4 linked regions of the Tamandua tetradactyla genome follow. The protein of the gene in region 4 interacts with the protein of the main gene of each other region in a biochemical or structural test. Links are inferred from orthologs where the notes say so. Each region holds a gene or a part of one and is shown on either strand. Other genes may lie near its edges. The genes, in order: TNFAIP3, MAP3K1, NFKBIA and IKBKB.

Evidence for each region.
Region 1: of the proteins of IKBKB (region 4) and TNFAIP3, one has a biochemical effect on the other in vitro, tested with the Homo sapiens proteins (2 studies listed by BioGRID and IntAct). The link is inferred for Tamandua tetradactyla from reciprocal best matches to the Homo sapiens genes IKBKB and TNFAIP3.
Region 2: of the proteins of IKBKB (region 4) and MAP3K1, one has a biochemical effect on the other in vitro, tested with the Homo sapiens proteins (3 studies listed by BioGRID and IntAct). The link is inferred for Tamandua tetradactyla from reciprocal best matches to the Homo sapiens genes IKBKB and MAP3K1.
Region 3: of the proteins of IKBKB (region 4) and NFKBIA, one has a biochemical effect on the other in vitro, tested with the Homo sapiens proteins (58 studies listed by BioGRID and IntAct, with this or other methods). The link is inferred for Tamandua tetradactyla from reciprocal best matches to the Homo sapiens genes IKBKB and NFKBIA.

What each region holds. Positions count from the first base shown.
Region 1 is NC_135351.1:38,077,303-38,085,205, reverse strand, and holds the start of TNFAIP3 (tumor necrosis factor alpha-induced protein 3), read right to left. Parts: upstream 3,004-7,903; 5' UTR 103-3,003; coding exon 1-102. UniProt on the Homo sapiens protein: Ubiquitin-editing enzyme that contains both ubiquitin ligase and deubiquitinase activities.
Region 2 is NC_135335.1:103,417,127-103,425,060, reverse strand, and holds the start of MAP3K1 (mitogen-activated protein kinase kinase kinase 1), read right to left. Parts: upstream 3,012-7,934; 5' UTR 3,005-3,011; coding exon 2,529-3,004; intron 2,408-2,528; exon of another isoform or gene 2,220-2,407; intron 1,980-2,219; exon of another isoform or gene 1,910-1,979; intron 1-1,909. UniProt on the Homo sapiens protein: Component of a protein kinase signal transduction cascade. Activates the ERK and JNK kinase pathways by phosphorylation of MAP2K1 and MAP2K4. May phosphorylate the MAPK8/JNK1 kinase.
Region 3 is NC_135340.1:18,276,595-18,284,321, forward strand, and holds the start of NFKBIA (NF-kappa-B inhibitor alpha), read left to right. Parts: upstream 1-4,727; 5' UTR 4,728-4,828; coding exon 4,829-5,055; intron 5,056-5,714; coding exon 5,715-5,823; intron 5,824-6,168; coding exon 6,169-6,379; intron 6,380-6,664; coding exon 6,665-6,753; intron 6,754-6,877; coding exon 6,878-7,138; intron 7,139-7,491; coding exon 7,492-7,539; 3' UTR 7,540-7,727. UniProt on the Homo sapiens protein: Inhibits the activity of dimeric NF-kappa-B/REL complexes by trapping REL (RELA/p65 and NFKB1/p50) dimers in the cytoplasm by masking their nuclear localization signals.
Region 4 is NC_135329.1:17,816,744-17,824,312, forward strand, and holds the start of IKBKB (inhibitor of nuclear factor kappa-B kinase subunit beta), read left to right. Parts: upstream 1-4,557; 5' UTR 4,558-4,710; intron 4,711-4,887; exon of another isoform or gene 4,888-4,977; intron 4,978-5,376; 5' UTR 5,377-5,395; coding exon 5,396-5,500; intron 5,501-7,569.

The sequences.
Region 1 (7,903 bases), on a different chromosome or scaffold from region 4:
GCACACCTGAAGAGAAGGGGGGAAAAACCACCCCGTTAGCCCAGCTTTGCCATCACTCCTACATATCTGCCTGCAGGACACCCCAGGGTTTGAGCCTGCCATTACCCTAACCGGTGGGCAAAAGATCTGTCACCTCTATTTCCAGGACACTCGCCAGCCCTAAAGATGAACTCACACTAGACTGTTTTAAAGATTAGTCTAAACAAGAGCAGGGAGGTGGGGAGTGGGCACCGAGGAGGAGGAGGAAGAGAAGGAGGAGGAGGAGGGGAATAACCCGGGTTTTCAGTCATGTCTCTCAGGTACTGGGCCGCCTCCTCCATCTCAGCTCCCATTTCATTCTGACGCCCTCCTGGACTGCCCCTGGGTGACAGGTGACAGGCATGGTGTGGCCAGCAAGCCTGGAGGCCCTCCCCCCACCCACCCTCCCAGCCTACCCTGCAATCCTTGTTCTGACACAGAGTCTTCGTTTCTTTCTTTTAAGCACTCTCTTCCTGTCCTAGGACACTAAACATTTGGGGGAAAAGCCTACGGTTTTTCTGCTGTCACCTTGGCTGCTGATCCACGTTTTCTCCTTGCACCAAAGACTGACAGAATTAAAACAGGCTGTTTTATAATCAACCAAGAAGCCTATTTCCAGCAAGCTGCCTTGCAATTAGTCAGCACCAGCAGTCGGCTGTCCTTCAGAACCTCTCCGCCGAGCCCCACAACGTCAGAATAATACGTAGGACAGAAAATAACAGAATAATGAGCTATGCGCTTCTGAGAGCAGGCACTGGAGTGCAGTGATTTCAACTCGACTGCCAAGCAAATGTCATCATCGTTCTCCAGGTGACCACACGGATGCATTTCCCACCTGGCCTTTCACCCCCAAATCTACAAACATCACCAACCGGTGGGAAGAAATGAAGGGTGGGAAGCAGGAAGAAAGGTCCAGCCAGGACTTATGAAAGACAGCCCACGCCAGCCGAGTGGGATGATGTGAAGCAGCGGGACGTGGGAGCTTTCCAGCCTGTAGCTGAGGAGACCCAGCTCCTCCTCACCGGCCCTTCTAGGCTGCCTCGTCACATATCCTAATTTCAGGAAGAAGACGTAGGTGATTTCAGGGCACAGGATGTTGCATATCCCATCCCTGTATGGCACTCTTTGTGCAGGCAAGTCAAGCTTCCATTGAGGAGGACACTGACCCCACAAAGCATGGAAGAGAAGCAGCCCAGGTTTTAGGGAGGCCACTCTGGGGTGGGTTCAGGATCTCTTCAAGTCATTGAAAAAGTGTTTTAACCTCTCATGGCCCACTCAAAGGAGAGAGTTTGCTTCTGAAGAGCAGGGAATAATTTTGGATTGAGATTCTTAATCTGATGGCCGAGTGGGACCTGGGACAAGTCATTCTCTTGGGAAGATGGTGACTGTCCTTTGAGGTTAGTCATTTGCTGCAGATGAAAGTGGGCAAAATAATAACAAAGGGACAAACACTGACGGGACAAAATACCATGCACACTTCTCCCAGTGGCAGAGCTAAAGTCCCTTTCACGATGTCATTCATTCATTCATCTGTCCATCCATCCCTCTAATGAGCACCATCTGTAGAAGTCAGGTGCATACTTGATGCTGACCTTACACCCCCTCCATGAAACCTCACAGCCCTTCAAGCCTGTACTTAAGGCAATGGAGGCCCAGAAGCAGGGGACCTGCTCAGGCCACTCGGCCATCCCTGGGGGGACAGCTTTGTCTAGAAGCCAGGTCTTCCTATGCCTGCCTGGAGCACCACACCTGAGGCCTCTCAGACAGACAGGCAGCCAAATGCTTTTAGACAAGCTAAGAATAGCCTCTTGTTTCTCTGTCTCTCTTCTCCTCAGAACCTAAAGATCTTTCTGCAAATATCTAAAACAGTGAGAGCCTCAGACCATAGGCAGGACATGCAAATGTTGGTATCACTGGCCAGAGTCATCTCACTCATAGATTAAACTCTCATAACAAACAATATTGCCTCCTTCAAAGGAATGCAATATGACTGGTAACTTTTTTTTTTAAACAGTTGTTGCCTCACTTTGACGTCAAGATAAATTCCCAATTTTTGTCACTAGGACCAAGGAGATGCTATAGAACTTATCACTCAAAGTCTCTGTCCCCCTGTTTTATTTTTCTACTTTGGGCACATATTCTTGTCCACAATGGGGATACTTATGAATTATTTATCAACAAATTCCTCACTAGATCCCCAAATTCAAAACTTGTGCAAAGAATCGCAAAAAAATCAAAGAAGCAATTCAGCCAATGAGATTGGGGCATGAGCCAGGCTGCTCTGTAATCTGGGACATCAGGGTCTCCAGCAAAACGCCGCCCAGTGCCGCTGGACGGCAGGCTTTCCAAGGACACATCAGTGGCAGGGAGAACTGAAAACCCAGCGGTCTGGGAGAGTGGTGCGCCTTCCTTTCCTAACACCGCGACTTTCCTGAGCGACCAGGTGGCAGGATGTGGGACGTCCCGGGCTGACAAAGACCGACTGCACAGCTTTCCTCGGCTGGATCCCCCAAAGGCAGGCCACGACCCACTTCTGCATGCAAACTTGCCTGACCCCACTGCAACCACAGAGCGTGAACACGCCCTCCCGCCCCCTGCACAGGGCACTGAGCGTCTGACCGCGGTCCCAGGACAGGTGAATGAACCGGAGCCCCCACACCCTGTGCCTGGCTGGGTGAGGACCTAAGCCCCCTCCCCGTCGAGGTCGCCGCCCTGAACGGGCCGGCGCCGCAAGGTCTGCGCAGAGGCCCGGGCTGTCGTGCAAGGCTACGTGGCGGCGGGCATGCAGCGCCCTAGTTCCCAAACAGACGCCTCCTGGAGCTCGGCGCCCGCGGCCCGCCGACCAGCCGGACGCTCCCCCCGCCAGCGGCGGCTCAGGTTCTCGGCGGTATGTGCAAGGAACAGACCGCCGGGGGGCGCCCAGGGCTGTCACCCCAACATCTGGCGCGGCATCTCTCAACCCGGACGGGCCCCTCCCGAGAGTCCCGCCAAGTACGCACCGGCAGCGCGTGGCCACGGCGCGGGGTCCCTTGTCGCGGCCCCCTGTCGCGATCCGAGGTCCTGGTCAGCGTGCTGGCCGGCTCGGGAGCCCCATGGACGCAGGGCCGGGTGCGCTCGCCGCTGGGCTCGCCGGGGAGGGTCGTGCCGCCGCCGCTGGTCTCCCGGCGCCCTCTGTCGCCGCTCCGCCCCCGCGGGCTCGCTGCGGGGCTGGCGCTCGGCGGGCCGCGAAGGCTGCAGACTGGGCAGTTCTCTATTCTCGCCTTTCTGTTTTAGGGCCCGCCGCCCGCCGGGGCTTTCCACTCGGGACTTTCCAGTCACGTGACGCCGCGGGGCCCGCGCTGCCCTCGCCGGCCACCAGGGGGCGCGGGGGGCCGCCCCGCCCCGCCCCGCCGAGAAAGCCCGCGGCCCGCCCGGGGGTCCCCGGTGAGTCACCTGGGCATTTCGGAAGCGGGCCCCACGTCACATCCATGTGGAAATCGCGGTGATGGGAACGGGAAACGAAATCGGGTCTTTTTCTCCGTTGCTTTTCTGCAGAAAATCAGCGGCTGTGGAGAAAAAGAAGGGAAATAAAAGAGAGAAACCCGAAAAACCACCCTGGTGTCCGGGAGCCGGGACGGCTTGCAGAACTCGGGGCTGAGCACGGGATGGGCTAGCCGGGGCCGGGCTGGCGGGGTGACCACCTAGTGACACCCCCGAGGCCAGGCTTCCTCCGAGGCCAGGCCGGGCTGAGCTGCAGTGAGCACCGGAGCAGCCCCCAGCCCTAGCCGGCTCCGGTGCCCCTCTCCATTTCTGCGGCCAGGTCCATTATCGTCCTTGCCTGTCCCCAAGGCCTCATGGGGTGTCCTTTTAGATGTTCTCACAACCAGCTCACCCCCAAGTACCTGTGACTGGTAACACCGTGCTAGCCCCCTCCCCAGGTGCTGCTTGCTGGCTAATCTTCCCCTGGGGGCTGAAGCAGTAGGGAAACCAGCGCACCTGGCCCTGAGGGCTGTGGGTTGGGGGCAGGGCACCAGGGCTCCTTTAACTGCCTCCGTGCCTTCTATGCCCAGGTGGCCCAGGCACCTGTTCCCCAGGTTGGGTGATCTAGAGCAGATGGAAACCTCTGGACCACTGCGCCCTTAAGTGCACTCGGGGTACTTGAAGATGCCCCCTCACCCCCCCCCCAACTGCTGGCATCTCTCCCCTTCCCTTTCACAAATGCTTTCTGCTGTCCACACTCAAGCATTGGCACCTCAGGCTGGTAGTATTACAATGGCGACATTTATCCAGAACTTACCAAATGCCAGACTCTTGACTAAATGTTTGCAATGTGGCCTGCCCTTTAAACTCCGCAACAACTCCACTTTGCAGCTGAAGCTATGGAAGCTGAAGAAGCCTATGCAAGCTGCCTAAGTCTACACCACCAGTCAGTGGCAGAACCGCGACCAGGACAGGGTCTGTCTTACCCCGGAGCCCAAACTGGCGGGTCTTAACTTCTAGGTCACCCCCCAGCGTCCAGAAGGGCCCTGCGCAGATTTAAAGTCTCAGGGCCCCCACGGCCCCCACCGCAGGCACTGAGCCCGCAGGAATCCTGACAGGAACAGCCTCCTGGGCTTGCTGGAGGCCAGAGGAAATTGGCTATTGAGCGTCCTGCCCAGAATCCCAGCCAGTGGACCCCTCTCACCTCATGCTTCTTTGTAGACAGACGTCGCCTGCTCTCTCTCACCTCCTACTGGTTCTGCCCTGACAAGTCCCCCGGATTCCTCCAGCAGCTTCCACGGTCCCTTCTCTGCCTTGTGTCTTTTCCCCCGGTTTGATGAGCTCTAGAAAGGGGGGGCTCAGATGACAGACCAAGGCTGAGAGGCCGTTTTAGGTCTCCTACTTCTCACTGCCCCGAAGTAGCTGCTTTGCCATTGTATCCGCTAGTACATATAATAAGGTGAGAGGTCTGGAGCCCTCAGCTTTGTTCCCTTCCTCTGTTTCCTGTGACTCTACCACTGAGCCATGGTCCCTGTGAAGAGGTGTCCTGAGACCTGCCTGCCCTTCCCTGGCTAGTTTCTGCTGTTCTTTCCACCTCCGGGGTCAGGCTGCCTGTGGCTGTAAACTTAGCTCTCCTTTCCGAGTACTTAGCACTTGGCAAGACCAAGGGAGTATTTTCTTAGTGGTGAATCAGAAAGAATGGGTAGAAGAGGGAAGAGAGATCCCTGATGGCAGAGGGGATATAAAATTTAGGGAAATTTGTGGGAAGAAGTGAAACCAAGGAGATAGTGCCCAACAGCCTTGCAAAGGGCTTCAATTTCTGCTGTGGACCTTATCAAAGTGGACAGAGTGCTGCAAAGCGGAAGGAACGTTCTTTAACACCTGGTGGACACAGAAGGAAACCGCATCTCCCTGTTGGAGGACAGTGGCTTTGGAGCACGCCGAGGGTTGGGGAGTGTTCCTGGGAGATGTCAGTTTCTACCCGGGGCCAGCGTTCACATGGCATGAGTTGTGGCAGTGAGCATGCGTGGCCTCTGGGATGGGACAGTCTGTGGATTGTTCCTGCAGCCTGCAGCTTATGCCGCATAATTCCCAGGAGGGGCCTCCCAGGATACTGGGGAGGGGGGCGGGGAAGCAGTAGCCACCTGACTGAAGAGAGGCCAATAGGTGATAAGGGGAAGGGGACCCAAATCTGGCTCTTTTCAAGCCGCAGCTCACGAGCCTCTCTTAAGAGACAGTGACAAGGCCTTCCAGAAATTATGGGGAACCCCAGGTCTTGGGATCCGTGGTCAAACTGAAATCAAACCCATTGTGCCCCTTGTCCGCACTGCCCCTGACCCCTCCTTCCTGGGATTGTGCTTTATCAAAAGGAAGATTCACAATAAACATATTTTGGAAACAACCTTATGTAAGTATAGCACTTTAGTGATTGAGGAGGGCTTTGAATCCTGCTTCAAACCTCAGGATCTCTTGGCTGAGCTCAGAGAGGGCTGAAGTGTTAAGGTTGGCCTTTACTTAGGGCAGCTGCAAGCGCTAGTTCTGAGAACACACTAGATGCTGTGGGCCGTAAGGACAACGAGAACTGGGAAATAAGGCTGTAAATTTCATCATCACATGAATACCCAATTCTTTGGAGATCCTGCTTCTTATCGGGGAACCTCAGACCCCTGACAGGCTTTGCTGGGGTGGACGGGGAGCTAACCCAACGGGAACCAAGACCCTCCCCCGGGAGGGAAGCAGTTGGCTTCCAGCCTAGGACAGCTCCTCTTATTCCACTTTGCCTAAAACACAGTGTGCTGAAATCCAAAACTTGTCAGAAAATCCGATCCCTCTATGAATTCTGGCTTAGTTTCCTGTCAACACTTGGCTGAAACACTTGGCAAGGAATCTTGTTTTACATCATGAATATAAAGATCCAGTTTTTGGTTTCATTTCAGTTCTTGCGGTGGTGCCTACGAATGCCCAGGTATGAACCTGACAGGAAAGCCCTGAAACAGGGTTCCAGGAACAGACTGGTCAGTGCTGGCTTTGGAGGTAAGCCGGATGCTCCCCAGGGGAACGTCCGGAACAGGGCAGGCCACCGGGATCTTCCCTTTGACGTGCCCCGTTCTCTCCTTCTGTCCATCAGTCCCTTCAGTCCAGTTTGGGGTCCTGTAGTCCTGCTCTGCTTGCCACCCCCACCCTTCATCTCCATGAAAAGGGACCCTTTCGTTTTCCTTCTCCCAGTGCCCAGCTTTCTGCAACTGACTCATCTAATAAGATCAGTCATGTCCATTTGTTTCGAGCAGATTACCATGTGTTATTGCATTACGTTTCTTGGGAAAGAACTCCTTAGGCTTAATGGTGGGAATCTCAAGCACCTGAGTAGGCTGCAGAAGGCGCTACTATAAATCCAGGATTCTGAGAGTCCATGGTTGTAAGACATGCCAGGAATTTAACATCATGGCGGGTGGGGGGGGCAACTCCATTACATGAAATGTTCCCACCTCCCTTCCTTTACTCCCTGGCACGCATGGAATCCACATGATTCCACTCCTACTTCCTCTCACTGTAGCCATCCCTGTTTGGTTTTAAGGCGTCTTGGAGGTGTGTAAGTCTCTTGAGCTGATTTTGGCCTAGATCGCTGTACATTGCATTCTGTGATAGGCTATTTTCAGTAGTTGGCTCTTCTGGTCTGTTTTAGAACTTTAAGATTAACCAAAACATAGCATAACCCTTCAAGCTATTCTTGAGAGTCAGCTAGAAACTCAGAGATCATCCTTCAAGATAATGGGCTCAAGGACACATACTTGTTCTGGCTATCGAAAGGAATTTGCCATTACCTAAGCATGTCCTTTATCTCCATGGCACATTTAAGTACCTTTATCTCTACATGGGGACAAGGTCCAAAAAGGCCCTTGGTCCTTGCCTGACCAGAAACCATGGAAGAGCAGCCATCCTCCGATGATGAATACTTGCTTCCTTTAGAACATTTCCATGCACGCTTGTGCCATGATTTTCTTTTTAGCTTCAGTAGAACATCATAAAGTATCTTTTGGTAGATATTTTATTCAACAAATAGGAATCCAAATTTAAATTAAATTGAAGTTCTTTTCGAGCTGCAAATGCAAATAACTCAGCAGGGGTGAGTCTTGAGGTTCCCTCATCTTGCTGAGCTCAGGTTGGTCTGCCACAGGACCTCTGCACTTACTGTTCTCTCTGTAGGGACTGCTCTCCCATCCGCTTGGCATTCAGCTTTCTGCTCACATGTCATTAATCAGAGAAGTCTTTCCCAACACCTCCTTCCTGTTCAGTTTCATTCTCTTTGCAGCATTTATCCAATTGGAAAGTCTTTGTTTATTGGTCTGTTTTTTTTAATCTATCTTTTCCACACTAGAATGAAATGCCGTGAGAACTGGATATGTATCTGTCATCGTCCATCCCTGTA
Region 2 (7,934 bases), on a different chromosome or scaffold from region 4:
TCTTCAAAGACAGTACATGGGAAGAAAAAGCCCCTAATTCGGTAATAAAAGGAAAAATTTCAAACCCTTGGGCGCCACTTACAGGCACAAAACTTTTACTGATTTCAGTTTTTACTATGAAGAAGATTTAAAAATTTCCATTTATAGCTCACAAATGTATTTTCTACAACTTTGAATCTACATCCAAGATCAGAAACTAAAGAAAATTCTGAAATCAAAATTACAAAATTCTCCTTTAAAAAAATACATCAGGCCTTCAGACAGAGGGGCTCTTCTCAAATAAAAATATTTCAAAATCTCAACATTAGATTTTCCTCCTGAAAATACGAATGCAACTACTGTCAAAAAGTATAATGTAAAGTTCAACTGAAATTTCATTACTCTGCTTATAATTAGAGTGCTTATGTCCAAGCAAACCAAGTGAATTTCAATCCCATCACCAAGGAAATTGGAAAAATCAATGCATTTTAAAAGGACAGAGAATCACTATTTTACCATAAATAAAATATTTAGAGATGACATTTGGGATGAACAAATAGCATTATGGTTAATGAAATCATTTTTAAAAAAAAGATTATACTAACTACTCCAGTGTAGCACAGACTGCAAATTTTAATTCACCCCTTAACAAAGACAGGAAAAAGCTTAGGTTGTAAAACATAAAAATTAAGCATGGACTACTCAGTCCCTCAGTTCTGTCTCTACCTTAGTCCTCTTATTTTGAGTCAAGGAACTACACTAAACAACCTCTGTATATTATTTTCACAAAGGTTACTCTAATACTGTATTCACAATTCAATAGTAGAATGTCAAGTAATTACTAAAGAATTACCGTATCCAAAGAGTTAAGTCTCATGAGAAGAAATAAAATTAATTTCTCAAGTTTACAATTTTTATCTGGAATACATTGGTGGTAACAATTTGTCTTCAAAGAATTATCCCAGTTAAGTTTTAGTGCAATCTGCATGGAACAGGAAACTGCAGAGGAATAAAACTCTGATTGAGTTACATGTACAAGTGCACACAAATCTCCCTTCTTCCAATCTAGACATGAAACAGTCCTGGGCATATTTTAAAATTTAGTTCTTTTTTGGGGGTGGGGGCGGGGAAAGCGCTTGCAAATAATAAACGAACGGCGATTTTAAATAATCAAGCTCACAAAAAAGCGCCAAATCACATTAGAAAATCAACCCAAACTAAAGGTTCCTACTGTTAAACTCATCTCACAAGAAATACAAATCTATTACAGACACTCCTGCAGAACTTCACACGACTCATAGTACGGGTCTGGTACTTCTCTACAGGGCAACGGGTGACTTTCACAAAAACATTTGCAGCAACTCGAAATACCCCACCAAGACTCTGTGCTCTGCAGACACTGGTCAGATCTTTTTCAAAAACAGGAATGAAGGCTGTCACACTTAGTGTATTTCCTTTAACATAAAAATTTCCAGTTGCCCCAAAAAAAAAGGGGGGGGGGGGGTCAGGCCATGAACCGCTCGTCTGAACTATGTTACATACATCGTACTTCAAATGCACCACGGGTCTTATCTGAGCCGAAGCTCCCAGTACTGTGACCCCAGGAATTCGGCAGTCGGCGGGCGGCCCGCGCAGCTGCACAGAGCTGGAAGCGCCGCAACCGCGCCGCGGTTCCCGAACCTCGCCCGAGGGGCTGCGGCGTGCAGTCACCACCGCTTGGAAACTGAATGGCTGACACATCCGGTCCCGGCTCTTACACCACTCAGCCAAATGTAAACTTCAAAGGCCAAATGCAAACTGCAAACAGAAGTCACTCACGTCTTCCCGGACAGTTCGCGTTCCCAAGAACACTCGGAGCCCTTGGGGGACGCAATCAGAAAAAAGCCAGGAGAGACTGCAAGTCCTGCGAGTTTTGACAGGCATTACCCACCGGACACCGGGAGTCCCCTGCGGCCGGTGCTCGGAAGCACGCCGCCCCCGGCCCGGCCCGACCCGCGGTACCTGCCTCGGCACTCGAGCCCCCGGCGCCGCTCCCCACCTACCCCGCCCCTTTTCCGCCCGCCCGAAGGCTCCGACCTCACCCCGGGACACCAGTCTGGGGCCACCGCCGCCGGGCAGCTCCCCGCCCCCCTGGGCCCGGGACTCGAAACACCCCGAGTGCAGCGCGGGGGCTCACGCCCCGGGCTCCTCCGAGCGCCCCAGTTCCCGGAGACCCGCAGAGAAAGCCGGGACCCCCACACCTTATCGCCACGGGTGCCTGCAGTGCAGCTCGCACGCCTGTCACATGTCCGCAAACAATAACAAACTCTCCAGCACGTCCCCGCCCCGGGCCCCTGTCCAGTTCCCCAGGCCGGGTCCAGGGCGCCTCGCCCGACGCCGGAGGGGTCAGGGGGTGTATGCCCGGGGGCGGAGAGACCTCAGGTCGCGGCCAGAGGCTTGCACCCTCCCTGCGCCGAGCCCCGGGGACGCCGTGCACCGCGTCCGGGATTCATTCATTGCCCTCCACTCGTCCCGCAAGTCTCCGCCGTGCCCCCCGCCGCGCTGCTCACCCGGTGGGGACCGCTGCAGGAGGCGGCTCGGCGGCGGGTGCCCGCTTCTCCCCCGACTCGGCCCCCGCGGGGTTCGGGGCGCCGCTGTCCGGCGCGGCCGCCGGCTCCGCAGGGTGGGCGCCGCCGCGGTTCGAGGCTCCGTGGGGCGGCGGCACTGCCTCAGGATGGAAGTTGCTCCCGCTCGCCGCGGCGTCTGCGGGCTCCGGCGACGGGGAAGAGGACGGCGGAGAGGCGGCGAGGAAGAGCGGCGGGTCCGGTAGCTGATCCAGCTCCACGCTCCGCACTTTGCGCAGCTGCCGCCGCCGCCAGTCCGCCCGCTCGCGGCCCCCGCTGCCCGCCTCCCGCAGGAGCCCCGCGGCCGCCGCGGGCCCGCTACTCGACTTGAGGGCACCCCCGCCGCCGCCCGCCTCGGGGCTCGCCGCCCCGGCTCCCGGGAATCCCGACGACGAGGCGCGATTCCCCGCCGCCGCCGCCATTTTCTCTCGCGGGCTACATTCGCTGGGCCCCTGCGAGGGAGGGAGGGGGCGGGGAGAGCGCGGGGGGCGGGCGGACGGGCGGGCACTGCGCCGCCAGCGTAGGCCGCCTACGCCAACTGCGTGAGCGCGGCCCGCCGGGCGTTCTGCCGGTGGCCTGGGCCGGCTGCAGCGCGGGGTCCTGCCTGCCGACGAGGCGGAGGGCGGGCCGGCGGCGGCGCTGCAGATTGGAGGGCGTGAGCTGTGCGCGGCCGGGGCGAGGTGGGCTGGGCGCTGACTACAGCGGGGGCGCTGTAGGCTCTAAGCGCTGCGCCCGCCGCGCCGCCAGGTAGTCCCCGGGAGCACCGGCGAGAGGAGGGGTTTCGGCGGCGCTGTCGCGCCGTGTCATCTCCGCCGCAGTATCCCGCTGGCTGGTTCGGAGCTCGTCCGACAGCGGCTGCAGCGCCCGAAATAAATACTTAGTGTGAACCTGGGCTTGTGGTGCGTTGAAGAGGACGCAGGGAAGAGGGCTTGCACTCTGTCATTCGCGCTGTCCTTTGCAGTGGGCGTCGGGGCACTCGAGCGCAGCTCCCCCCGCCCCTCCTCCCGCCCGGTACGGGCCGTGCAGGTGGCGCCAGGGCTGTCGCCTGCTGCACGGCGAAAGAAAACCAGCGTTCAGCGGACGTGCAGCCGCAGACCATGACAGTATTAAGTTGCGTTTTTAAAAAACATTTTTCCTTTTTTGTGTCCCCCACCACTCGTAGACCATAAAGAGCAAAACTTCAAAGTTTTCTGGAATACCTTGTTCACATCCTGAAATCACTGATTTGAGACATCCCCAACCCGGTTGGACGCGGAAGGGCAGGTTCCCTACGGATCTTTGTTTTTTCCCTCGGCTCAGTCGCTGGGAGAGGCAGGCGAGTACAGGACCACGTAGAGCACGTTTGGAGAAGGAACTAGCGCTGTGCCAGGAAGTGCTCGACAACGCGGTCCTCAGCCTGGCCCCGGCCCTCCCCGCCCCCCGGGGGCCCCTCGCTGCGCGGCCCTCTTACTCGCGGGGTCGGGGGACGGAGCGCGTTCCTCCCCCCACCCCCTGGCCTGGCGGTGTCAGCAGCGGCGTTTGAACCACTCCAACCCCCAGGAGAATCCCTGCGATACGGTGCCCTGGGATGGAAAAATCACCGTTTACATGTTCATGTTTTTTCGAAAAGCTCGGTAGAGTTGTTTTGTTTTTCTTCTCTCCCTTCTTTTCCTTAAGACGGTTTCTCTGTATTGGGAAATCTCCCAGAAGACAGAAGGAGTGCCCCTAAGATTTGTTTTGTGAAAAATTAAACAGACCTGACCTGACGTGTGTGTGTGTGTGTGTGTGTGTGTGTGTGTGCGCGCGCGCTTGCTTGTTTGCTTGCTTGCTTGCTTGCTTGCTTGGGGGGAGTGTCATGCAGAAAGAGAACTTTCTTGTTAGTCTAAACATACTTAGACAAAAGCCTGAGCTGTCTAGGTAATAATTCCTTTGAATTCTTGAGAATACATACAATGAAAGCCCTCTTTCCAGGTATAAATGTGATATCGGAGCCGAATTTTTTAAGGGTACTGATTTTATATTAGCTCGGTGTCTTGAATGGTGCTACACCAGCTGCCATAAGAGTTTTAGGTAGTTACGTCCAACGGTACAAATTTTGAAAGTTTGGATAAATCTGTTAAAATTTCAAGTCTACATTTAGGCTATAATTATATGCTGTTTTAATGGTAGCCAAGTGTATCATTCAACCCAAACAGTAGTTATTTCCCAGGTCTTCCGGGATTGCCACACCCACTAACTCCTAAATTGAAAAGGATAAACTTTCCACATTCCTATTTAGATCTAAAAACCTTTAAATTTACACACACACATCCTCAGGTAAGTGAGAAAATTGAGTGGAAATGTGAAGCCTTTCAAAATTGTCCCAATTTTGAAGTTTAGGCACAGTTGCAAAGGTAAAACTGGACTCCAGCAAAACATTTACCTTTGCTCTTTATATGTCCTTGTGACCAAAGCAGAGGGGTACCACATGCAACGCTAGTTACTTTCTCTGACCATCTCAATCTACCGCACACCAAACACTCCCCATCTCACCCCTAACAAGAAACCTGACTGATGGTCTGTCCCAAGTTTTTGGTGTTTTGAATCATTTTACTCTTAATCTTTTATGTAAATATTCTGGTTGCCGTTAGGCATCCACACTGACAAGCTGACTTTTTTTTCTTTTTAAAGAGAGAAAAACAATCAAAGGACCTGCATGACTGAAAAGCCATACGTTAAATACAACATCTTCTTTGAGAATTTAACTGCGTAGAATTGTTAACATGGTTTCTGAGTTTTAAGTATGGGTAAGACTGTAGCTTCTGTGTTTGTTGGATCTCTATATTACTGCACAGAGATATAGGTCAGTTATCAAGCTATTCTGTACACTCTGAGTTGCTTTAATTTGATTTCTTTAATGACATTAAGGAGACTTCAAAGATTGCTTCTGGAGCTGAATATTCCAGTTACTATTTCCATCCTCACTCAAGGATACAAACCTTGCAGTGGTTTCGTTTATGTCACAACAATTTTTGTAACCTTTACGCAGTGCTTTACAGATCACTGCTTCTAGTGCTTCTGGGAATCACCTAAGACGCACTTCAGTTCCTACATCACATTCATTTGCAGGATCTAGTTTAATGTTTGTGCGTTTCCTCGTTGTGCACAAATATCTCTGATGTTGAAATGAACAGACTTAATATGCAGTGGCAGAAATAGTGCAGACTGTACATTGTTCATCATATATTTATTAAGCACGTACTACAAATATACAAAGAGTTTTCTCTTGTGGTTATTAGGCTGACTCTAATAAAGTCAGATCTACCAATATGTACATATGTATTCATGCCTCTGTTTGAGAGATCTATGTCTTAGGAAGGCATAAGAGTAAGAATGTAAACTTGAGAGTAGGGCAAAAGCTGGTGTTCTGCCATGCTTTATAAATACTTACTGGGGGCAGGCCACAGTGGCTTAGCAGGCAGATTCTCTCCTGCCATGCCGGAGACCTGGGTTCGATTCCCGGTGCTAGCCCATACCAAAAAAAAAAAAAAATACTTACTAGGAAATGCTTGCAGAGTAGGGCTGGGACTTAGTTTCTCTATGCTCTTTCTAGACACCATACTTCCCAGGTGTTTCTAGATGTTCTGAGTCCTGAAATCTTGTCATCTGTAGATAACCAGTCCCCCCAGAAGGGCATTGTAGGTGACATTATAGTACAAAGTCAGCCAGCCTCCCCTTAGCTGACGCATTCATTAACACACACCCATCATCCTTATGTACAACCTGCTGAGGGGTGACAGGGCCCAATGAATGTCCATGGCCAGTGGCTGGTATGCACCTGCCCACATCTGCTTCCACCTGGTGAGTCATGGGCCCTGCAGGAACCACTTGTATTTGCTCCCAAACCTGATTAGCCTATTATAACTGTCCTTATGAAATTTAATTAAATTTTAGGAAATTGATTATTAATAAGCATGGGTAGATGAGTGCCAAAAGAAAGTTGTTCCAACAAAAACTTAAGTTGAATGCTTCGAAAGAGTGAATGAAGGCAAGTCACTGAAAACAAATCTATCAAATTAGTTGTGGGTGTGATGATTGTAGAAGGTTGGAAAAAAGTTCTCAGCTTCAGAATAATTTACTTTGTAAGTAACTATCACTTCTCATTTGGTGTCAAAGAAAGTAAAACTGAACATTGTAAGCATGAGAAAGATGTGTGGAACACTAAGCAGTCAAATACTGGCAAAAAGTCCCAAACCAACCCCAAACAAAACTCTATTATTTATATGTTTTAAATGAAAGTAGAATATTTAAGCTATTTTATGTTTCCATTTTCATAACCAACCATTTAAACATATTGCATTTGTTTGCATGTACTTAAAATAAGAATCCAGTTTTCAAAGTAAATAATAAAATACAGTTGGATTGGAATTTTAGATTTAAAAATAAAACTACAACCTATTAAATTTAATCTATCTTGTAACAAAATTCTGCTTATAACTCTGCACTGATTCTTTGAATTCTTTGAATGATCCATGTTGTTTGCTGGTTTTTGATGTATGATGAGATATCCTTTGTGTAGAGCTGACTTTAATGGCTTAATAGGGACTATAGTTTTTGCAAAAATATTCAAAGACTTAATACATTTTTCCCAAGAACCTCCTGAAATATTCAGATTACTTTCTTTGGATTGGTATCCTTGTCAATTTTCCCTTCCTTTGTAGTTCACTGTTCCAACTCTGTCAAATCCTCTATTGACCAGACTTTGTGTGTGATCCAAGAAGTTTGGTACTACTTCAATCTTTTGTAACGTTTGCACTTTCACTTTGCAATTCATTTGAATTGTTCTGGGGCCAAAACTGTTAAACAAGTATACAAAATTGGCATCCACTGGAGCAGCTGCTGTCCAATAGTAATATATGTAATTTAAAATTTTCTAATAGCCATATTTAAAAACCTAACAAAATAGGTGAAATTAATTTCAATAATATATTTTATTTTTCATAACATATCCAAAATATTATCATTTCAACATTTAATCAATATAAAATATTATTGAGTTTGTTTATATTCTTTTTGTTTGTGGGCGCACTACGTCTTTGAGATCTGGTGTGTATTTTACTTACAGCACATTTCAATTTGGACTAGCCACATTTCAAGTGCTCATAGCTGCATATGGGTAGTGGCTGGTATATTGGACAGGACAGCACTAGAGTCACAGTATCTAAGACCTATGAGTTTTATGTTCTGTGAGATGCCTCATTAGGCCAGATTAGTGTATAATAAAAAAAAATTACATGTACATGCTCAGGAAATAGGTAAAAAACACTATCTATATAAATTAGGAACAAAGAAGGAAATAGTCTTCTACTTCCAGTAGCTAACCTTTCAAATAAA
Region 3 (7,727 bases), on a different chromosome or scaffold from region 4:
ATATATTCCATTTTTTTCATATGTCCCAATAATATTCTTTTTCAGCCTTCTCACCTCTCTTGCCGGATCCTGTCCAGGATCATGTAATGCTTTTAATTGTCATTGTTTCTTTAGTTGCTTGCTCTTTTTCTTTTTTATTATCATGGGAATGTTTATACAATATAAACTTTTCCACCTCAAGCACTCCCAAGCCTACCACTCAGTGGAATTAATCACATTCCTTATATTGTGCTATCCTCACCACCTTCTATTACTAAAACATTCTTATATCCCAAAGCAGAAACCCTATACACATTTTAAATTAACTCCCCATTTCCCCTGCTCCCTGTCCCTGGCACTCTGTACTCTACGAGTATGTATATTCTCCGATATTTTCTTTGTGTTACCAAGGAGCTTAAATTTAACATCTTAAATCTGGAACAATCTCATTTGCTTTGATACCGACCTAACTTCAATATATACACAAATTATATTTCTATAGCTCTCTGTCTCTCCACATTTTGTAGTTCCTGTCACAAATGAAATGTTTTTACATTATGTCTTAAACCACTGATTTCTCTTTATGTTTTATGAATTTGCCTTTTAAATTCTGTAGAAAGCAAAAAGTGGACTTACAAACCAAAAATACGATAGTACTGGCATTTATATGTACTCATGTCATTACCCTCATTGGAGATCTTAATCTCTTCATATGGCTTTGATCAATTGCCTATTGTCCTGTCTTTTTAAGCTGCAGAACTCTCTTTAGCATCTCTTGTGGTGCTGGTCTTGTGGTGACGAACTCCTCCAGCTGTTGTTTATCTGGAAATGTCTTAACTGCTCCCTTTTGAAAGACAGTTTTGCTGGGTATAGAATTCTTCACTGGCAATTATTTGCTCTCAGTATTTTAACTAAGTCATCCCAATGCCTTCTTGCTGCCAAGGTTTCTGATGAGAAATCCGCACGTAATCTCATTGAGGTTCCCTTATATGTGACAAATAGCTTTTCTCTTGAGGCTTTCAGAATCCACTATCTTTGGCATTTAACAGTTTGATTATAATATAATGCAGTGTGGGTCTATTGGGGTTTATCCTATCTGGAGTTTGTTGAGTGTCTTGGATAGTATGTTCATGTCTTTCATTAAATTTGGGAAGTTCTCAGCCATTATTTCTTTGAATATTCTCTCTGCCCCTTTTTCTCCGTCTTCTTCTGGAACTTCCACAATGAATATATTGGTAGACTTAAAGGTGTTCCACAGGTTCCTTAGGCTTTGTTCATTTTTCTTTCTTCTTTCTGCTCCTCAGATAGAATGATTTCAATTGTCTTCAAGTTCATGGATTCTTTCTTCTACCACTCCCAATCTGCTGTTGAACCCCTCCAGGAAATTATAAATTTCTGTTATTGGGGTCTTCAGCTCTATTTTATTCCTTTTCACAATTTCTATCTCTCTATTGATAATCTCTTTGTGCTCATCTGTCATTTTTCTGATTTTTTAAGTTCTTTGTTCATGTTTTCCTTCAGCTCTTTGAGCATTTTTAGGACATTTTTTAAAAGACTTTGTCTAGTATGTCACAGGTCTGGTCATCCTCATTGATGATTTCTAATACCTTAATTTTCTCCTTTGCCTAGGACATCACTTCCTATTCCTTTGTATGTTTTATAATCTTTGGTTGGAACCTGGGCATTTAATGCTTTAAGGTGTTATCACTGGAATTTAGACTCTGAGGCATCTATTTCCTTAAGCTTGGATCCAGCTAGCATAATGATAGAGCTTTCTTTAAATGCCAGGGCTAAGGGAAAAAATAAAAGACGGGGAAAAAAAAGAAAACACTTTTCCTAGTCTTTACAGATTGACCTCTATGAGTGCTTTTTCTTCAATGCTTATCTATACAAAGAATTTAGTGAATAGCTCCAGGCCAAAGCATGCAACCTCCTTCCTTTCTACCCACGGTCATGTGGCCCTAGGAATTTCCCTGTTTACACAGATACAATGTCCCCTCTTCCCTAGGAAAGAGCCTCCTCAGAGTCCCAGGCACAGCTCTGTATGTCCTAAAGCCAGCAAACCTTTGCCCCAAGCCTCCAACCAGCAATCCTTTGCCCCAGGTCCATGGCTTTATTGGCTGCCCATAGTATGTTGTAGGAGAGCTCCACATGCTGCTTCTTCGCTCAGGGCAAGTTCTGGGACACCACCAAACTGTGCCAGACCTACAGGTTCTGAGTATGTGCACAAGCGTTAACTCTGCTCCCTCTGAAACTGGGACTAAGCATCCACGCCCTGGGAGGATGGGCTGGCTCAGAGCCAAGTTGGTGAGGGCTGGGAAGGTGGCCAGCCAGGATACCAAGAGATTCTAGGCTCTTAAATTGCCTTTTTCTTGATTCAGTGCTCATCCTGTTTCTACAGTCCTTTAACTATTTTCCACTAGATCTTGCTGGTTGTTCAAAGCTTCTGTGGGGACACCTATAATTCTCTTTTTACTTTCTAAATATGAGACCTATAATTCATATTTTTAACTCTTTAGCTAAAAATCCTCTTCTAAGATATACTTTGTAAATAGGGCATTTAGTGTTTGCCATTTCTATAGCTTTTTTTTTTTTTAAAGAAGTTACTGTTCCCAGCTAGGGGAACACCTACCCTCTGTTTTACCTAACAGTTGGAGCAGAAAATACTCGAGTAACTTCCAAATTATAGTATATTCAGTCTCATTTTCACAATGTGTCTTCAAAATTGTTAATACTATGACTGCTTTGCTAAATGGTTAATATATTGGGATAGAAATTAGGTAAACTACCATGGGATGTCTGGGTAAATTTCTCTTTATTTCAGTTTCTTTTTAGGATTAACAATGTGATACATAAAGTGTTGGAGTCCTTACAAAAATTTATACCACAATATGCCAAGAGCTAGGGTCTCCCTTACAAATCAGGGTTAGAGATGCATTTGTGGCGACATAATATAGTTTATTAAGCTGGAAAAAACCCTAAATAGCATTAAACCCAATCTTATTATTTTAAAAGCATGTATGCTACTGAATAGTTAACTATCTACCAAAGTAACATACAGTTAATTAGAGGCAGAGCCTGGGGTTGAGATGCCCTATTTTTAGTCTCTATTCCACTTTGCCTCAAGAATTGTATATTTGCATATCAAATGCCTGCAGAGAGGATGTAGTCTATCCTGACAGTTTTCATTTTAATATATTATCATTGCCACTCTGAAGGCTTTATTTCTTGATTTTACTTTTTGTCCCCTCAGATTTCCTCTCTCAACCCCATTGACCCAGATTCCCCACATTGGCATGTTGGGGGTGGGGGTGAGATGTGGACAGGGGGAAAGTTTCACAGTAATGGCCAGTCAAGGCAAAGATGATTGCAGTAATCACCAGAAAGCTCTGCAGAACTGTAGAACCCACCCCACCCCCCCCCCACCCCCCCGGGGCTAATTCTCAAGACCTCTGACCTAAACTGTTTTCTTTTGCCTGGGCAATTCTATAAGCACATGAATTCAATTTATGGCTTGCTGACTTGGAGGTGGGGATAGGGACAGATAGAGTAAGTTTCTATATTTGCAGTTGAAACCAGAGGATGGTGAGCCCAAATCCCTTTCCCTTCTGTGTGGCTACCCACACTGTATGGGTAGGTCCAGCTGTGTCACCCCCCAGGTCAAGAGTAGCAAGCAAGGGCACCAGCGGGGTAGTGTTGGGGCTGCCTTGAGCCCCATACACGCTAGCTAGCAGCTACTTTTGTGGTGGTCCTTATGGTCCAACCTTGGGTAAGACGCTGCTAAACTCATGCTTCAGCATCCTTCTTCAAATGCTCCAGGGAAATTGCCCATCAGGCACCCAGTAGAAGGTTCTGGGCCTATTCCCTGCAGTTGCACAATGCAAATGAAAGAAAGAGACCTCACTGGTTATTTCTTATAGCAAATCTATAACTCCTCCTGCACAGATTCACAACTTGCCTTACTTCAAATGAATTATGATTATATATTGCACTTTCCAGAAAGAGGGGCAGGAGTGCTTGCCCCTTCCCCAGTCAACAGGATTAACAGTCCCAAGGAAATGATTTGAGGGCTTTCCAAGTATTTAGGTTTAAGGCCAAAGCTTTCACAATTTTTACCTGGGAAGGCAGGAAAAGCTAAATGCCTCTGCTCTGCAAAGAGGCACAGCGTTCCTGGTATTGGCAGGAACACAGTACGGCCCGCGACCTAACCACCTGACCGCCCTTCCCCGCAGACTGAATTTTGGGGAAGCGAATCCCTACACCCAGCCATCATTTCCACTCTTGGGTTTTCAAAAGAGCAAAAAACGGAAAGGCCCTGCAGGTTGGCAAACACCGGTGTGGATCCGCCCAACGGGTCTGCGTCCTGGGGATCGCAGCGCAGACGACCCTAAGTCGAATAAATCAAGGGAAACCCCAGGGAAAGAAGGATTTTTGCAGAGGACAGAATTACTGAGTGCAGACTGCAGGGAAGTACCTGGGGGGAGGGGCCCTTGTCAGAAGGACTTTCCAGCCACCCAGCGCTCATCAAAAAGTTCCCTGTATATGACCCCAGTGGCTCATCGCAGGGAGTTTCTCTGTTGAACCCCAGCACAGGGTTTAGGCTTCTTTTTTTCCCCCCCAGCATAGAATGGGGCCAGTTCTCATTTCTGGTCTGACTGGCTTGGAAATTCCCCGCGCCTGACCCCGCCCCGGAGAAATCCCCTGCCAGCGCTTATAGGGCGCCGGGGCGGCGCTGCCGAGCCACAACAGTGCTAGTCCGCAGCCCCAGCCGCCAGCGACACTGCGAGGAGGCGCGCAGCCCGTGGCCGAGCGCACCTGGGGAGCCGCGCCTGGAGACGGAACCCGCGCCATGTTCCAGCCCGCCGAGCACGCCCAGGCGTGGGCCATGGAGGGCCCCCGGGACGGGCTGAAGAAGGAGCGGCTGCTGGACGACCGCCACGACAGCGGCCTGGACTCCATGAAGGACGAGGAGTACGAGCAGATGGTGAAGGAGCTGCGCGAGATCCGCCTCGAGCCTCAGGAGGCGCCGCGCGGGGCCGAGCCTTGGAAGCAGCAGCTCACGGAGGACGGAGACTCGTAAGTGTGGCCGAGCCGGGGTGGGGAGGGTGGGTGCGCGCCGGGCCTGCAGCGGGAGCCGCCGGGGCCGCGGCGCAGCAGGGCAGGGGCGCGGCAGCGACCCCGGGGCTCGGGCACCGACCGCGAAAACGTTCGGAGCTGCACGTCTGCGCGGCGGGGGGAGGGCTGGGCTTGGGGCTCGCGGGCCCGGCTGCAGCTCGGCGACGCGCTCCGGCGTTTCCTCACACGCCCCCCCTCCTCTGCCTCCTCCCCTTCCCCTCCCCCCTCCTCCTGGAGGCTCGGGCCTCGGGGCCGGGGGCGGGGCGGCGGCGGGGACGCGAAGTCCTGGGTTGCATAAGGGGTGGGGGGGCTGGGTGGGCAGGACTTTCTGCCCCGCTGGCAGGCGCCTCGCAGCCCCGAGGGGAAGTACAGGGCGTTCCGGGCCGGCGCGAGGGCGGGGCGGTCTGGCCGGCGCCCGCCGAGGAGGAGGAAGGGGGGGCCCGGAAAGTCCCTGGGCGCCTGCCAGGAACACTCAGCTCATAATAACCTCGCGGAAAACACCGCGGCCTCGGCCTCCAGAAACCCCGGCCTTGCGCAATCCCCCGCAGCCCGCACCTCCCTGGGCCCCACACGGTGCACTCATCACCCCCTGGTTTTTTTTCCCCCTCTCTTCCCCTCAGGTTCCTGCACTTGGCCATCATTCATGAAGAGAAGGCCCTGACGGTGGAAGTGATCCGCCAAGTGAAGGGGGACCTGGCGTTCCTCAACTTCCAGAACAACCTGCAGCAGGTGCGCTGCTCGCCTAGCCCGGGGCCCTTTCTGACCCTGTGATGGAGCTGGATTGACAAATTGGCCCTGACACAATTGCCACCAAATCCTTTCTAAACCAACAGTCACTGATCTTTAAAGGCCCCGGCCTTTTACATTTTAATCAGCAAATATCCAACAGAGAAAAGCATATCCCATGGACTGGGTGATTTAGAGTCCACCTGGGGCCTCTGGTGTTTTCCTCGCCCCTTGGCCTGTCTGGGAGGAGCAGCACCCACCACTGGGAGGGGCCTGGGGTTTCAGGAGACCCTGACTGCAGGTTTGGCCCATGGTTTATTCTGTTTCTATTCCTTTTTATTTTTGTAGACTCCACTCCATTTGGCTGTGATCACTAACCAGCCAGAAATTGCTGAGGCTCTTTTGCAAGCTGGCTGTGATCCTGAGCTTCGAGACTTTCGAGGAAATACCCCCCTGCACCTTGCCTGTGAGCAGGGCTGCCTGGCCAGCGTGGGAGTCCTGACGCAGAGCTGCCAGGCCCAGCACCTCCACTCCATCCTGCAGGCCACCAACTACAATGGTACGCGAGTCGGCCTGCCCCGCCAGGGGACGGGTGGCATGGAGGAGGGGGGAGGTGGGCCAACAGTCTGAGTCCTGGTGAGACCCTAAACTCTCAACATGAGAAAGTTTGAGAGAATAGACCCACTATTTGATGCCTTTATAATGTTAATTCAGACCCCAAATTCGAGATCCTTCAAATTTAGAAGACATGGCTGATTGTCCCTTAAAAGAATAAGTGGAAGGTTCTGTTTGAGGTGTGAGGCTTGAAACAAATGGTTAAACTTTTTTCCTTTTGTTCTTCTAGGTCACACGTGTCTACACTTAGCCTCTATCCATGGCTACCTGGGCATCGTGGAGCTCTTGGTGTCTTTGGGTGCTGATGTCAATGCTCAGGTGAGTGCTTCCTGCTCCCAGATGGAGTGAGTCCGGCTTTAGAGCCCCTTTCCTGAATAAGACTTCTTGCAAGCAGAAATCCCAAATTCAGCTGTAAGCATCTCTTAATTCTCTTTGGTCTCAGGAGCCCTGTAATGGCCGGACTGCCCTCCACCTTGCAGTGGACCTGCAGAATCCTGACTTGGTGTCCCTCTTGTTGAAGTGTGGGGCTGACGTCAACAGAGTTACCTACCAGGGTTACTCCCCCTACCAGCTCACCTGGGGCCGTCCAAGCACCCGGATACAGCAGCAGCTGGGCCAGCTGACCCTGGAGAACCTTCAGCTGCTGCCAGAGAGTGAAGATGAGGAGAGCTATGACACGGAGTCAGAGTTCACAGAGGACGAGGTGAGTCTCCATTGAACTTCTTCAACACCCACAAAAAAGATGAGGGGCCCGTCACCTTCCCATGCCCCGAGAGCTACTCTTAATCACAGAGTCTCAACAATGAAGTTCTCAAACTTGAGTGCAATAACACTATCCCCGAAGCGTGTCTTTTCTGTTTGTAGCTTAACCTTTTTAGAGGAGAGGAACATTAAAGAAAAACTCCCTCAGCCTGCAAAGTTCATTTATGTTTTGGGTTGTTGAGAATGGAGTCCAAGAAGACTTAAATTATTTCCCAATAGGAATCCTCACTGTCTTCCCAACGTCTTGTTAAAGTTCTGGAAGTTTAATGTGCTTTTCTTCCCTCTCATTTTTAGCTGCCCTATGATGACTGTGTGCTTGGAGGCCAGCGGCTGACATTATAAATGGAACATGTATAAAAGAACCTGGACTTGTATATTTGTACAAAAGGAGAGCTTTATTTTTCTAAAAAAAAGGAAAAAAGAAAAAAATTCAAAGGGTGTACATAAAACCACACTGCCCACTGCTTGGCCCAAAATATTTTACTGTGGTGGATCAGCCTTTATTTTTGTGAATTCTATGAGTGAGACAA
Region 4 (7,569 bases):
CTTTGCTTTGTATATATGTTATACTATACGATTAAAAAAAGTTAAAAAAAATTGAAAAAACAATACAAAACAAAAAAAGCCCTGTGCTGCCCACTGGATGTCCCCCCAACCCTCCCGCCACCCCACGACGATGGCAGGTTCATGCTTGCTGGCCCTAACCCAGATTGGGAGTTGTGGCCTTGGAGAGCTGGGCTGCTGTGCAGGAGAACTTGGGAGGGATCTGTCTCTTTGCTCAAGAGCAGGAGGCCTGAGGGGCTGGAGAGGAGAGGGAGTGGAGAGGGGTTGGGCAGGGTGGGGGCCCAGGAGCTGGACAAGGGGAACTTTTGAGAGAGGTTGTCGGATATTAGATCTTAATGTGTTTGTGGCAGGCACTATGATATAAACCCTTCCATCGCTCCAAACCTCCGGTAAAATCTGTTGAATATGAAGTTCTTCTTTAAATGATTATTGGATAAAATCAAGGAGTAGGGCTGACTTCCACATCTGGATAAGGAACAGAAATCACAGGCCCAGGAATGAAAAATGACACATAGACTGATCCAATTCCTTCAATATACACATCATCGCTGAGCACCTACTGAGCAGTCAAATGTTTGCTACTACTGTTATTATTACTGTGTGGCCAGCACGACGTGATGCTAGAACAGCGGAATTAGAATAGACAGGGGACTGACAGCATTAACTGCTGGGAGGCAGGCAACCGACAGTAAACAAATAACATGCTAAAAGTAGTGACGAGTGCTATGAAGGACTAGATGGGGAGAGTGTGGTGACAAAATAACCGGTCATGTAGGGAGGAGGACCTATTTGGAAAGGGTGTTTGGGAATTTAGTGAAAGTAGGAGTCAGAATTGGCTGAGTAAGAAACATACCACTAGCCTCATGCGCCACCACAGGCCAGCTCCACCACCGCTTACACCAATTCCTGGAGAGATGGGAAAGAGAAAGGGTACAGGGTCTTTTACATCAAGGGGAGGGGAGGGTTTGAAGCGATTTTACTTGAATCATAAGGACAGGAATCTCTGCTGACACCTAGGCTATTGCATCAAAAAAATCATGCAGGCTTAAAAAGTGCCAGGCTCTGTCCTAAACTCTTTACATCTATTATCTCACTTAAATCACATAACCAGGAAGAGTAGATTGTAGATACAGAAACCAGGGCTCAGGGAGGTAAAGTAAATTGTCTGAGTCCATGAAGCCAGAGTCAGCATTAAAACCCAGATCTCTTTCAGACTCCAGGGTCCACGTACATCCAATGCTAAAGAGTGCAGCATTACGGGTCTTTGCACTGGTTGACTGATTATTTAATTCGGTAAATTTTTCTTGAGCATCTATTATGCCTCAGGCACTGGGGATGCAGCAGTGAACAAAATCCCTGAGCCAAAGGAGGAGCTCAGAATTGAGGTGATGAAGGAACACAGCTATCAGCTGATGTGCCCAGTTCATACCCACAGATTCTCCACCACAAAGGATGGGCCCTTTAGTGACTGCTTCCTCTTTAAATGGATTTTATTGGAATAAAAACATGTGTGTGTAAATGTGAAGGGAGCATGCAAAATGATTTCCTCTCCCAAGCCACCCTCCAGGGAGGGTGACCCAGGGCTCTGAGTTTCCAGCCTTCAGTGTTTCACCCAAAATTTGAAGCATGATGACTTGGCTGACTCTGCTTCTCTCCAAGTTTCACCACTGGCTCAGGTCCTGTTCTCAGAGATAGGAGTTGCCTGCAATTTCTTTCCTTCCTCTTCTGCAGCCAGTTCTTATACTGAGCTCTGAAGATCCGAGCTGTGTTGACTCTCCTTTTCAGTCTCTGCCAGTCCACCCCCCATCTCCCACCAACTCTTGCAGAAGAAAGGCAGATTTCTTTATTCCTTTCAACAAAACAAGTTTTTCCAACCTTTCTGGCAGCAGAATTTTTGTTTGTTGAAGGAACAAGCCCTGACTTGCAGAGTCCTCAGCAGGGCTGAGAGAAAACAAACTTGGTACTAGGGTGCCAGGAAAATCCTCCCAAGATGGAGTGCTCTATTTTATTGTCTTGATATCTTCTAAGCTCACTCTTCCTACTCTCCTCTCAGGTGGCTCAGAAAACAATCCTTTCCTCATTCAAAGGAACTCAGGGTTGCTTTGCCCAGCTGCTGTTAAGGTGAGAGGCAGTGTTCCAATAGCAGCAGGGTTTTCGCAAAGGATGCTACAAAAAGATGCTTAAGAAAATCATTGTCTTTGACTTCCTCTGGAATAAGATTTTATTTTAAATGAAACAATATTAAGAAACCTTATCCTCATCACTAACCTACTATACTGCCTCTACAGCAGAACAAATTAGCACCTGAGTTTGTGTTGCCTTGTTCTGATCTCCAGTTACCTGTTGGCTCTCTGTGGGTCTTATGTTCTCAATAAGATTCTAAGTGTCTGTGATGAGACTTGCATTGGTTGAATTCCCTGTGGTCAGCGGTGCCCAGAGCTATGCTATGCCCTCTCCAGTATTTCTTGATTATCCTATAGCTTCTGCTAACTAGGACACTCGGTTTCAAAGCAGGAAGAAGAAGGAACGTTTTTCTGCTGCCATCTGAAAATGTCTTGTTATGAGCAGTCTGCTCACATCCTCCAGAGCAGGAAAGATACCAGACACGGTATTCTGGGCATATCTTATCTGGAAGGAAAAAAGGAGTTTAAGATGATAAATATCTTGGGACATGATAAAATTCACAGGCTCTTTCCTGGCTCATCATGCACTTATTTTTTTAAAAAACTAGCAGTGTATGCGACTTTATCAAAGAGATTTATGTTCAATTGAAGAACAAGCTGTTCTGGACTCAGCAGAATGAGAACTCAAAGGAAAATGGTGCAGAGTCAACCTTGGGCATGTCAGTGGATATCTTGCTAAATTTCTCAGGGACAGTGATTATCAGTGGTGACAGGATTAAAAAGAAGCTTTCATGATGTCATACATATCCTAAGCAGAGCTCAGCACAAGTAGGTGCTAAATAAATATTTGTTTAATTTGATTTAATTATTAAACAAACACGTATATTGCACTTGGAATATGCCAGGCATCATTACTTTGTGCTAATGAGCTGAAATATGTTCCCCAAAGTTAATTGCAACCTTGGACCCTGTTTAGGAAGACAGGAGTGTCCACTGGGTCAGGCACTACCGTTACCATTACCTCACTGGCCCCTCAGGGAAACTGAACTGGCACCTCCTCTGCCACTTGTGTGCCTTCCTGTCCTCTTGCTGCTCTTAGGCTGGACCAAAGAAAATTGCTGAACTTTAATTGATGCTGTTTGATTTATTTAAAAAATGGCAATTTCATGTGACTCACCCTAATATTGCCTACATTTAAAAGAAGAGGAAATGGAGGCTTGGAGTGGTTAAATAATTTCTCCTTAATTCTTCGAGCTAATTGACAGCAGTATCTGAATTCAAAACCCAGTTTGCCTCCTTAGGTTGAACCTCTTAGCCTGTTATTTTTAATCAAATATTAAGAGCATCTGCCTAGGAACCAGCTACTGGGGGTTAAATCTCACATCTTCCATTTACTAGCCCTGTGGCTTTGAGATGAAGAGTTTTCCTCTGTATGCTTTAGTTTCCTCATTTGCAAAGTGAGGGTAATAATAATGCAGTATTATTTAATTTGTAAAGTAACCTTAAATGACCCGAAATCTAAGTACAGAGTTTAGGAAAGCACCTGGCATTTAGCAAGCACTCTATAAATGTGAGCTATTATTACCACCTTCAGGTTTCCTTTAATCCCTTTTTCCTTCTTGATTAAATATACCAACTCACACACACACACACACACACACACACACACACACACACACACACAACTCCATTGTATACCAACAGAATGCCACAAGATCCAGAAACTTAATATTAAAGACCTTATTATAATGCCAAGTGCGGAGGAAATGAACGCTTAACCTCGGGTCGAGAGCCTTACTGGAGCTGAAACTCGAGTTCAGTTTTATACTACTAGGGTTGGTTTTTTTTTTTTCTTTTTCTTCTTTTTTTTTGTGTGTGTGGGGGTGAGGGGGTGGTCGGGGAGGGAGGTGTCACTGCTGAGAAGTACAGCTGGGATTTGTCATTCTTGATACAGAGACAGGAACCTCCAGACACGGGAGGCGCAGCAGGAGCCCAGGAGGGCAACAGCGATTCTGGCTAACAGTCCCTAAATCAATCCTAGCGGGGACGCGGGGGAAATTCCACCTGCTCCACGTCTGGGAAGCGAGGTCAGGTTTACCCTAGCAGGGCTGGGCAGAGGAAATCCCCCATCCCTTCTGCCCTGGACACCGCTGCAGGTTCCCGGCATTTCCCTATAGAGAACACTGGCGTGCTGGGGTTCGTTTGAAGACTCTTTTATCTCGGGGAGCACAGTTCTGTTCAGTTCCGCCCAGTCGTTCAGGAGCCACCCGCATCCCTCCCGGGGGCCACGTGGGGCGGAGAGCCCTGGGGAAAGGCAGGCTTCGGGGGGGGGGGGGGGGAGGGCGGAGCCCACGCGCCGCCGCGGCCCCTTTAAGAGCGGTGCGCCGGCCCACGTGCCCCATGACGTCAGAGCAGGAAGTGTTTCAGGAAGTCGCGCGCTGCTGGTTGGTTTGAGATTCCCGCATTTTAATGTCTTCTGAGTGGTACCAGAGCCCCTGGTCTTGCTGCCCCAGGCCCCGCCTCCCCAGCCCCGGGGAGCCTCTCCCCCGCCCCGCGTCCCTGCCGACAGGTGAGTCCCACGGGCGGGCGCGGGACCGAGAGCGTCGTGTCCACTTGGAGACCCCGCTGGTCCTCTGTCCAAGTCCACTTGTCCGTCTCCATCCTCACTTGAGGCTCTGGAAGAAACTTCTGTCGAGTTTAAAAGTCGGGGGGCCACGGGTTCGAGTTGGGAGGCCCAGGAGAACAGCCCCGGCCTGGGGATTCCAGGTGGCAGCTTAGAGGATGGTGGCATTGGGAGGGAGCCGTGATTCTTGTAAAGAACCTTGCAAAGAAACAGGTGAGCGTGGGGAGCCCAGAAACAAGACTCTCTCGTCCCCTGTGGGAGGATGCGGGCAGGTCAGCCGAGGATCCCCTTTGGAGGTCATGGAGTGTAGGGCATCATCTCCCTTGAGTGACTTTCCTCTTTACTTCCTCCCACGAGAGTGGGAGGATGGAAGGTGATGAGAGAGAAAAAGTTTGCCACCAAAACCAAAACACAAACTAAAAAAACAAAAACAAAAAACCACACCAAAAAAATCCCGGTTTATTCGCTAAGTAAAAAGCAGTTCAGTTTTTTTCTTCTCCCACGCTAAAGGGCAAGTCCATCTCTTACCTTCTCCATCCCCTTGAGCAGGGACCTGCCCCATTTTTTCTTAACCATAATAACCCTTTGCCCCCCATCCCCAATTGCTTACAGAGTTATCAGGACGTCAGTAATGAACTGGTCACCTTCCCTGCCAACCCAGACATGTGGGGCTTGGGAAATGAAAGAACGACTTGGGACAGGGGGATTTGGAAACGTCATCCGATGGCACAATCAGGTAGGGGCTCTGTGCAGCCCGGGAAGGGGTGGGGGTGGGGGGCACGCTTCTCTCACTGCCCCTTGGCACTGCAAATTTCTACCCCACACTGTTCTGGGTAGGTGAATGGTGCTAGCCTTTGGTGGTGGAATTCTTAGCAGTGAATGAGAAGAGGGACTGGGAAGGGGGTTTCTAGGGGCAGCTAAGCTGACTTTTTAGGTTAGTCTCCAATTTTAATGGACCGCACCACCATAATAGATAGTGAAATAATAATAACAATAAAGTGAAGCTCTTGGCTCCAATTATGTATATTTTAAACTTATGCAAGTATTAGAATGTCATATACTGTTACATGCTAATATATAACTATTATAAAGCACCCAAAAATAGGAAAATTTTAAGGATGACGGTAATGAAATAATATTTTAAAATATTTTGCTATTTGTGATGTCTTCTCAGTATCATTTACAGTATCTTACAACGTGAAATACCTGGATCTGCACAGAAGTTAAGAATGTCATTAAGGATAGTGGATGAAAATCTACACTTCAGATTTAGAATTTTGAATTATTTAGACTGATTTCTTTTTGGATTTCATCAGATCCTCATTTTTTTTATTCCTGCTCTTTATAATGAGCTACTTGTGCTAGAAGTGCCGGTTCTACCATGTCCCTCCTTGCTTGTGTAGGTATGATATGTCCTGAAGTTCTCTGCAGGAATCTCTTTATGCTATTTGTTCATTTTGAGAGTTATTGTCTTAGTTTGCCAGGGCTGCAGTAAGAGCTATCCCAGGCTGGTTGACTTACACAACAGAAATTTATTATCTCACAGTTTTGGAGGGAAGAAGTCCAGAGTCAAGATCTCTTGCAGGCGGTGCTTCCTCCAGTACTTGAGCCTAGTGATTTGCTGGTAATCCAGAACTCAGTCTCCGCCTGCCACCTGGTAGTCTGTCTCCTCATCCACCTGATACCATCTGCAGATTTCCTTTGCATATAAGGACTCCAGTCATATCGGATTAAGGCCCACCCTGTTTCAGTTTGGCTTTGTCTCAATAGGATCTTCAAAAATCCTGATTACAAGTGGTTCACATCCACAGGACCAGGGCTTAGGACTTGAACATGTCTTTGAGGGAGGGTGGGGGCCTGAATCAATCTGTAACTGTCAGTTTTACTTAGACTGGATAATGCATCCATAATGCTACTTCACCAGGGCGCACATGACCTGCAGCGTGTCTCCATAGGCCCCTGGCACCCCTCTGCCTGTGGAATGCCTCCTTCCTCAGGATATATCAAACATGGCATGTTACCTTCTGACAAATGACCTAAAGAATGTGCCAACATCAGTTAATATTAGAAGAGCTTAATTTATTTTTTATTTTTTTATTTTTCGATTCCATTAGATTATCTTGGGCAACCCCTGGGGTGCATAAACCTAGTTTGGAGACGATTGTCCTAGAGGAACCCTGACTTAAGTCACTCACCAAATAGCTGAAATTAACTTCCTGCTCCAAAATTCAGAGCCATTGTATTCCTTGAAGAAAGGCAGCTATCCTTTTAATCAAGGGGGCTGTTGAGCACCTTTTCTGACTAAAGGGATGACAAATTGTACTCTACTCCCCAAGAGCCTGGCTGCAGCCAGCACTGCAAGACGTTGAGGTAGCTGGCCAGCCATGGCAGAGGGTCACTCCAGAGAGCCACTCTCCTTGGCCATTGACTTGGGAGACATTCTAGGCCCTGCCCTGAATCCTGCCAGCTCTTGACTGCATGGAAGAATACGGGATCCAGAGCTGGAAGGCAGAGGTGGTAACATTTTCACCCCCCTTGTGGAAACTAGTACTTCAGCAAATCCTTGGCTGAGGAGGCCTTAGAAATACCACCTGCTTAAGTTTGTCCAGATTATAGTCTAGCCAAGGGCTTCATTTTAAACCCAGAGAGCCAGATTATGCTCCAGCACCACGTATAACTGGGCTGGGTGCCTCTGGACAGGCCAGTGCTTTTAAAAGTCTTTTGACTACAGCAAATATCTCACTGCAGCTTAACTAGAGACATCTTGGTTTCCTTTGAAAAAGAGTTCTGTCCAAATGTGCCATA